Linked DNA regions of Oryctolagus cuniculus. The protein of the gene in region 2 purifies or fractionates together with the protein of the main gene of each other region. This does not show direct contact. Links are inferred from orthologs where the notes say so. Each region holds a gene or a part of one and is shown on either strand. Other genes may lie near its edges. The genes, in order: NR1H2 and ABCA1.

Region 1 (4,436 bases), on a different chromosome or scaffold from region 2:
TGCGGGCGCAGCCCCAGGGCTCCCGGTCCCTGTGTGGGTGCTACCCTGGACTCCCAGCCCCTGTGCGGGTGCTGCCCTGGACTCCCGGCTCCTGTGCGGCGCTGCCCCGGGCTCCCGGGCCCTGTGCGGGTGCTGTCCCGGACTCCCAGCCCCTCTGCGGGTGCTGCCCCGGGCTCCCGGCCCCTCTGCGGGTGCTGCCCCGGGCTCCCGGGCCCTGCGCGGGCGCTGCCCCGGGCTCCCGGGCCCTGTGCGGGTGCTGCCCCGGACTCCCGGCCCCTGTGCGGCGCTGCCCGGGGCTCGGGCCTGGCACTGGCTGTTACCTCGATGGTGGACGCCTTCAGGAGCGCGATCTGGTCCTCGCGGCCCAGCTGCAGGAAGCCGGGCACCTGCTTGGCGAAGTCCACGATCTCCTGCACCGAGATGATGGCCAGCTCCGTGAAGTGGGCGAAGCGCTGCTGCCGGGCGTCGCGGGACTGGGGGTCCGCGCCCAGGGGCCAGGGCTGCGACACGGGAGACCGGTCACGCCAGGACCCCGGCGCTGACCCCGAGGCCAAGCCCGCGGCCTCCGCCTCCCGGCCCGGCCGCCCGAGGCTGGGCGGGCAGTACCGTGACTTTGGGCTGGTCAGAGAAGGAGCGCTTGTTGCACTGCAGCTGGGCGGCCACCAACTGCTGGATCATCAGCTCCTGGGCCGCTGTGAGCTGGACGCCCTCGCCTTCGCCGCAGCCCTGGCCGCTGGCTTCCGCACCCCCGGGGGACGCCCCCGGCGCGCCGGCCGAGCCGCTGCTGCCCCCCGGCTCCCCAGGCACCGGCTGCTGCTGCTGCTGCCTCCGAATCTTCTTCTTCCGGATCTGCTCCTCAGAGAGGACGCCTGGAACGGAGCCAGCGCTCAGCCGGCGGGGGCGTGGCCGGGCGGGGGCGTGGCCGGGCGGGGATGACCGGCTGGGCGGGTCGGGGTGTGGCCAGGTTCGGGGTAAGGCCAAGGCCGGCACAGTTGGGGATGGGGTAGCGCCCCGCCCCCACACTACTCCAGCATCCTGGCCTCCTTGAATTTGCAAGGGTTGGGGGCGTGGCCAGCGGGGCGTGGCCTGTCGGAGGCGGGGACAGGGCATGAGAGGGCCGGGGCCGACCGGGGATCGGGGCGTGGCCAGGGCGGTTGGGGTGTGGCCGGTCTGGGGAGGTGGCCAGGCCTTGGCCTGGTCGGGCCGAGCCCTCCCCACCCTGCACACTGCTCCCGCATCCCGGTGCCTCGCACTAGCGAAGGCCGGGGGATGTGGACGGGGCAGGGGCGTGACCGAGGGGGCGTGGGCGGGGCGGGGCGGGGCTTGGCCGACCCTCCCCACCCGCACTCACACTGCTCCCGCATCCCGGCCTCCTTGCATTTGCGCAGCCGGCACAGCTGGCACTTGCGCCGCATGAAGGCGTCCATCTGGCAGGCGCCGCCGCCGCGGCAGGCGTAGCGGCCGGCGCCGCCGTGGACCACGCTGCGCCGGAAGAAGCCCTTGCAGCCCTCGCAGCTGAGCACGTTGTAGTGGAAGCCCGAGGCCTTGTCCCCGCACACGCGGCACAGCTCGTGGCCCAGCATCTTCGGCGCCGGGCCCTTCTTCCGCTTGCGCTCCGGCTCCTCCTCCGGCTCCACGGCGACTGGGCGGGCGGGCGGGCGGACAAGGCGGTGAGGGGCCGCAAGGAGCGGGCGGCGCGTGCGCCCCAAAGAAGCGAGGCAGGGCCTCCCTCTGCCCTGCTGCCCACAGCCGTCCCGGGCCCCGTCTCACCCACGACGCAGGCTGAGCCGGCCTCATCGCTGCCTGGCACAGCAGGGTCCGCGGCCTCGGGCCAGGGCTCGGGACCCTCTTCCTTCACGGCGGGCGAGGGGGAGGAGGTGCCGGGCTGCGCGGGGCCATCTCCTGGGGGACGGGGAGACGCGGCGCGGTGAGCTCCTCCGGCCGTGCGGCTGCTCCGACCGGGGCTGGGCGAGGCACAGGGCCACTCACCAGGCGGGGCAGTGTCCAAGGAGGTCGTGGTGGGGGAGGACATGGTGGGGTCACGGAGCAGCCTGCACAACACAGGGGGGCAACGCAGGACTGGGTCAGGCCAGCTGCGGGTTCTGATGAGGGGGCCCCTTTATTCCAGCTCCCCCAGGCTCCGACTACTGCACAGGGACCCCAGCCCCAGCCGGCCGCCAGACGCTTCCCACCCATGCTCCAACTTGCAGTGTGGCCTTAAGTCCCGCCCCCTTTACAGGCCCCGCCCCAGGCCCCACCCACCTGCTCGCCCATCACTGTCCATTCTCCTTGGGGCTCACTCTGCCCGTCAGTCACAGCCCACCTGCTCTTAGCACACCTCCCCCCAACCCAACTCCGTCTCTCATTCTGATTTTTCTCAGGCCCCGCCCACCACAACACCTAGCCCCGCCCCCGCCCCTCCCGCAAGCCCCGCCCCATCACCTCGCTCCAGGTCCCGCCCCTCTCCGAGCACCAGTGGGGGGCGGGGCTCATGGCTGCGCGCGGGGACTTGTGGGCGGCCTCTCGCGTGGGGGGGTCTCCTCCCGTTGCCCTGGAAACAGCCGGGGGATGCGCAAGCTACGGAGGGGAGCGGAGGGAAGAGAGAAGGGGGTTCGTCGGAGCTGCTGGGGGCTCCTCCTGCGTCTCCCCACTCCCAGTGCTCCTGTCTCCGCCCCCTTACTCGGCTCCTCTTCCTCCGGGGCCGTAGCCCCTGACACGCCGCCGCCACCAGAGTCCCCTCAAAAGTAACTTCGCCACTTCTTCCGGCAACCCCGCCATGCGTCACTTCCGGAAGGGGTGGGGCGCGAAGGGTGACGGACTTCCGGTCCGCTGGGGGCCGGCCGAGTCGGCCGCCCCGCACGGAAGTGGTGCGCTCGCCGGAAGTGTGCGCCGCCGTGTGGCTCCGCTGGGGGGTGCGGAAGAAGAGTTCCGGGGAGTTGTGGGGGACCGCGGTCCGGCGTGGCGTGGCCGGCCCCGGACCGCGCGGTTGGCCTATCGCGCCCATCCTTGGTCCTGCGGCCGGAGAGCCGGGTCCGCAGACACCCCCAGCAGCGGCAGCGTCCCTCCCCGTGACTGGTGAAAACACGCAGTGCACGTTTGCGGAGTTTGTGGGCTGGCAGCTTCGGGGTTTTCAATGAGCTGAAATACGAACTTGGGCCGGGAAAACGTATGCGGCAAACCCTAACTTTGCTGCTGGAAGCGTTTGTAAAAGTCCAGGCTCTCCAGACCACAAGGGTCAAAGTAAAGTGTTGGCTGTGGCACGTTCCCCGCGGGGCGCGTGGACGGGGCGGGCTGGGCGCTCGGCGCCCGGATTCCGGCTGCGGACGAGCTCGGTGCTCTGCCCTGAGCCAGGCCGGCTCGCAGGGGAGCCCCTGCGTCTCCTCTGCCCGGGCTGTGCGGGCGAACCAGGCGTTTCCGAAAGCCTGGGGCTGGGGGGCCGTGGCTCCTCAGCCGGGGCGTGGCGGCTCGGGGAGATGCTGCCCGGCATCCCTGAGCCTTCGGGCCGCGCCGGCTCTGCCATCGGACCTCGCAGCAGGCCTCGTGGGCCACGCGCGATGGACGCTGACCGAGGTTCACACACGAGGCCCGACACACAGCCGAACTACATTCCCCAGCGGCCCACGCGGCCTGCTGGTCACGTGACGGGGTCCAGCCAATGGAAAGGGAGCAAAAGTACCAGGGGCTTGTAGGAGGCTGTGTGTGGAGCCTCAATCTGGTCCCAATCCGCCGTGTGCCGGAGGCCTTGTCTCGGCGAGCGCGGGCAGGGGCAGGCGGGGAGCCAGCCCTTGTTCTCCCGCGGCACCGGTCGGGGAGCTGCCCGCGGCCTCGGCGCCCGGCATGGCGGGACCCGTGGCGGGAACGCGGGTGCACACCGCCACCGTGCGGCCGCCTGCGGTTTTGCAGACAAGGCCTCCGAGAAATGACCCCTGGGTGCGGGGCGCGGGGCGACGCGACCTGGGCCCGAGCGAGTCGGGGTGGGGGGCGGCGGGGAGGGTCGTCGATCCTGCCCAGGGCAGGCTGTGCCGAAGGAGGCTCCGAGCCGACATTGGCGAGGGTCTGCTGTGTGGCAGGTGCTCTCCCAGGTGCTGAGGACCCGGGTAGCAATGAACTCAACTGGACCAAGACCCCTCCCCCTGGACCTAGACCCCTCCCCCTGTGAGAGTTGCATTCCAATGGGGAAACGGGCGGCACGAGTAGGGTTTGGTGAATGGCCCACGCCTTGGCAGCGGGCTAAGCCGCCGTGTGCAGCGCCGGCATCCCATGGGGGTGCTGGCTGGAGTCCAGGCTGCTCCACTTCTGATCCAGCTCCCTGCTGATGCGCCCGGTGTGGGAGACCCCGAGGGGGCACACGCCTGGCGCAGCCACTTGGGGGGTGAACCAGCACATGGAAGATCTCTCCCTCGCTCTCCTTTTCACCATCGCTCTTTTAAATAAAT
Region 2 (3,798 bases):
AAGCAGGCCTCCCACCTCCATGCCATGTGCTTGCAGGAAAAGAGATTCTCATCTTCCTTGAGAAGCAATGCTGTTGTCCTAGCAAGAAGAGCCCTGAGATCCAGCCGTAGTTGTCAACCACCTCAACCCTGCCCAGTCTGTGACTTGGAAGACATGCAGGACAGTTACCTTGTCGGTATTTCAGCAACAGTTCCCATATTCCCCTGCGGGAATAAGGGTCCACACCAGCTGTGGGCTCGTCCAGAATGACAACCTTGGATCCCCCGACAAAGGCCAATGCCACAGAGAGTTTTCTCTGCATTCCACCTGTAAGAAATAGACAGGCTCCAGGACCAGCCCCAGATGGTGAGTGAAGTGGAGGTGATGAGAGACAGGTGGAAGCACCCACCTGGGGACATAGCCAGGGACCAGTTTCTATTCCCCACTCACCCAGCCCAGGACGCTGGGAGAGCGGTGCCTCCTGTGTGTGCGCCCACTTGGAGGCAGAGGGGAGGGAGAAAGGAGAAAGTAGCTGCAGGCTTACCTGACAACTGACTTGTTTTGCTCTTCAGCTTGCTGGGTGGCAAACCAACATCCAGGGCCATCTGCTCCATCTCTGCTTTCACGTGCTTCTCGGAGAGCCCTTTGAGGCGGGCGTAGAACCAGATATGCTCTTCCACAGTCAGCCTGGGGATAGAGGGGCAGGTCAGCTCTGGGCCCTGCAGGATGCACCAGAATATAGTGTCTCCTGACCAGAGCAAAAGAGAATGGCTACGTTTTTTTTTCTCCCCCTCCACCTTTTAAAAAATATTTTACCAATCACTGAAAAGTGATCTTTAGACTTCAAGGCAGAACCACAGCAACAAACCTGAGCTGCTCAGGAATGGGACAGATCCCTTCCAACTGGTCCCCAGCGAGCCTTGCCCCAGCTACCGGACAATTCCAAAGTTAAATTTCAGACTCCCAATGTGTGGTCCTCAAAGAGCTTTCCTGTAACCCAAGTCAACCAAGATGTTGGCCTGGAATTAACGTGGACTGGCCCTCCTGGCCTCAAGGAAACGGAGACTCAAAGAAGGGAGGCCCTCAGGGACTCTTGTGAGCCCACGATGCTCAAATCTGGTCAGCAGAAGCTGAGGCTCACAAGGAGGAAAGGACTCACCCAAGGTCAGAGCACAGGTCTTCCTCTACTTTAATATTGGGGCTTCCTGGAGGCCCTACTTCCTAATGAGACAATCTGAGTGGGAACAAATGTCTTGAGCAAGAAACACAGGGCCACTGTAAGAAGGTGCCCTGAGGCCATTGGGGAAGATGTGGGCCAAGGGACCCTTCAGAATGCCAATGATGGAGAGTACTGCTTCCAAGCCCCCATCTGCTGGCTGGACTTGTGCAGTATCTATCATCCAGAAACTCACTCCACTTTTCCTAAAATCAAGGGACAACTAGGCCTCACATGTCTAGGGAGGCAAGACCTGCCATCCCCAAAGAAGGAGAAATGCTTAAGTCCCTTGCACCCACGACTTCATGACACACACATCCAGAAAGGGCCTGGTACTCACATGTCAAACAGCACATTGTGCTGGGGACAGACTCCCAGGTTCTGCCGGATGGTGCTCATCTCCGAGCGAATGTCCTTCCCCAGGATGTAGGCGGTGCCCGAGGTGGGAGGGAACAACCCAGTCAGGATGGACCTGAGGTTAGAAACCAAACAGTATAGGAGTCAGGGCTGACCCACCCTCTCCTCTAGATGCTGCATAGCCAGGCAGAGAGAACAGAGGGCACCAACCCTCCCACCCCCTAATTCCTATCTAACAGACCCCAACAGACCCCCTCCCCCAACAAGGCAAAAAATTGCTCGATGTTAAGGAATAACTAGAATCAGGCCTATGTGTCAGGAATGGCAATTTTGGCATAAGCATTTTTAAAACAAAGTATCCAATCTGCACTGGAAAGTATACTTTAAAAAATGTCTTATATATTTAACATCATGCCCACAAAAAATTGACAAACCAGAACAAGTTATTCAAAGAAAAAAACAAAGTTTGTGTTAGATGGTAAGATTCTGGAATGCCTTTTAAAATTGTTCTACCATGTTCGTAATATTTTGATTTATATTAAACAAAAAGATAAAAGAAAAACAGGAAAAGAGTATCCTATCTAAAGACACAACCTCTGGAAGGGTTGAGGAAACACACTGAAAACCACTGAGGCTACCTCTGGGGCTTTATGGCTTTTGTCCCATCCAAGGCTGTCATGGTAAGATCCTTGTAGATCCCAGGCATGGCAACCAAAGCCAGCTGTCCAGATGCTTCTCACATATGCTTAGACACTTTCTGGAAATTGCCACCCCCCTCTAACATATCCAACCTTTCTTTCCAGATTCTCACTTTACAGTTCTGACCAAACCAGCTCAAAAGGAGACCCTTCCTCAGAGCAGTCATGGCCCCAGAGTCCTAGAACACTACAGAATACCAAGAACTACATGGGAAAGTCATACAAAGGATCCCCCTGATTCGGGCTGACGATTGACATCTAGTAAAATCTTGCACTCTGAGTGCAGCCTCCTGGTTAGATAATGATTTTACATCCATCATCTCCTGTGTTTTGCCCTTGCCCCAGTGACCCAGACAATTTCCTTAGGTGGAAACCACACTGTGATTCTGTGAGTCACCCCTCTTCTTACATGGTGGTGGTCTTCCCCGCTCCATTGTGACCCAGGAAGGAGGTGATCTGGCCCTCATAAAAATTCAATGCCAAGCCATCAACAGCCACTTTCATGCCATCTCGGTAAACCTTCACCAGGTTCTGGATGGACACGCCCAGCTTCAAGTGGGTGGGCTCCTCTTCCATGCAAACTGTGAGAAGAGAGAAGGGTGAACCCACAGAGACTACTGACTGAGTGGGGTGTGAAGACCTGGGCGCTGTGCTTCTACCTACAGTACTGTTTTCTCTTCAAGACCACTCTGAACTCACCGGCAGGCAAGAGGCTATACACACGTGTGAGGACCAATTTGGGCAGAGATATTGGTGACTGGAACACAATAATAAAAGTGTCTGCACTGTAGACTTTTGGAGAGGAAGGAAGACTTGAAAAAATATAGGATGATAATAGATGCTTAAAAACACATCTAAAAATGCCACAAACTGGAACACCCACACCAGGGAATACTACTTTGCAATGAAAGGAATGAACTGGTGATACACACCACAACTTGGATGAATCACATGGAAATTATACTAAGTTAAAAAAAAATCAACAGGCTACCTACTATATGGTTCCTTTTACGGAACATTCTAGAAATAATAAAATTATAGAAATGGAGAAAAAAAATAGTGGTTATCCGATGTCAGAGACTGGGAGAAGGGAAATGCCTCTGGCTATGAAACAGTAGCATGAGTGAACTTTGGATGCTGCAATAGGCCTGAATCTTGATTGAGCTACTGATTACATGAATCAACACCTGTGATAAAACTGCACAGACTAAATGCACAGAAACACATGCTCCAGCAACTGTGAGCAGATCCAGGAGACTAAAAAGGAGCTGGAACAGGGGGCAAGTGAGCTCACTAAGATATCGCTTCCAAATGAAGGAAGGACACAGAGGAAATCAGCAGAAGAAGGGCCTATTAACAATGGAAGGAAGCCACAGTAGGCAGAAAGAGCTTAACAAAAAAGCCCAGTAGGCAGAGCCATTGCTTCTCCACCCACAGTCAGGAGCCAGGAGAGACTTAGCATTCTGGGGCAGTGACTTGGTGCCAACCGATACAGCCTTAAACATGAATCCCCCTGACAAGGCAGGCAGCAAGGCTGGCTCACGGATA

Evidence for each region.
Region 1: the proteins of ABCA1 (region 2) and NR1H2 purify together in Homo sapiens (affinity purification with western blotting; 3 studies listed by BioGRID and IntAct, with this or other methods). This does not show direct contact. The link is inferred for Oryctolagus cuniculus from reciprocal best matches to the Homo sapiens genes ABCA1 and NR1H2.

What each region holds. Positions count from the first base shown.
Region 1 is NC_091449.1:7,476,868-7,481,303, forward strand, and holds the start of NR1H2 (oxysterols receptor LXR-beta), read right to left. Parts: upstream 2,836-4,436; 5' UTR 2,681-2,835; intron 2,578-2,680; 5' UTR 2,443-2,577; intron 2,052-2,442; 5' UTR 2,033-2,051; coding exon 1,990-2,032; intron 1,903-1,989; coding exon 1,771-1,902; intron 1,643-1,770; coding exon 1,352-1,642; intron 870-1,351; coding exon 607-869; intron 501-606; coding exon 321-500; intron 1-320. UniProt on the Homo sapiens protein: Nuclear receptor that exhibits a ligand-dependent transcriptional activation activity. Binds preferentially to double-stranded oligonucleotide direct repeats having the consensus half-site sequence 5'-AGGTCA-3' and 4-nt spacing (DR-4).
Region 2 is NC_091432.1:208,664,951-208,668,748, forward strand, and holds part of ABCA1 (phospholipid-transporting ATPase ABCA1), read right to left. Parts: intron 2,832-3,798; coding exon 2,660-2,831; intron 1,668-2,659; coding exon 1,536-1,667; intron 667-1,535; coding exon 524-666; intron 307-523; coding exon 169-306; intron 1-168. UniProt on the Homo sapiens protein: Catalyzes the translocation of specific phospholipids from the cytoplasmic to the extracellular/lumenal leaflet of membrane coupled to the hydrolysis of ATP.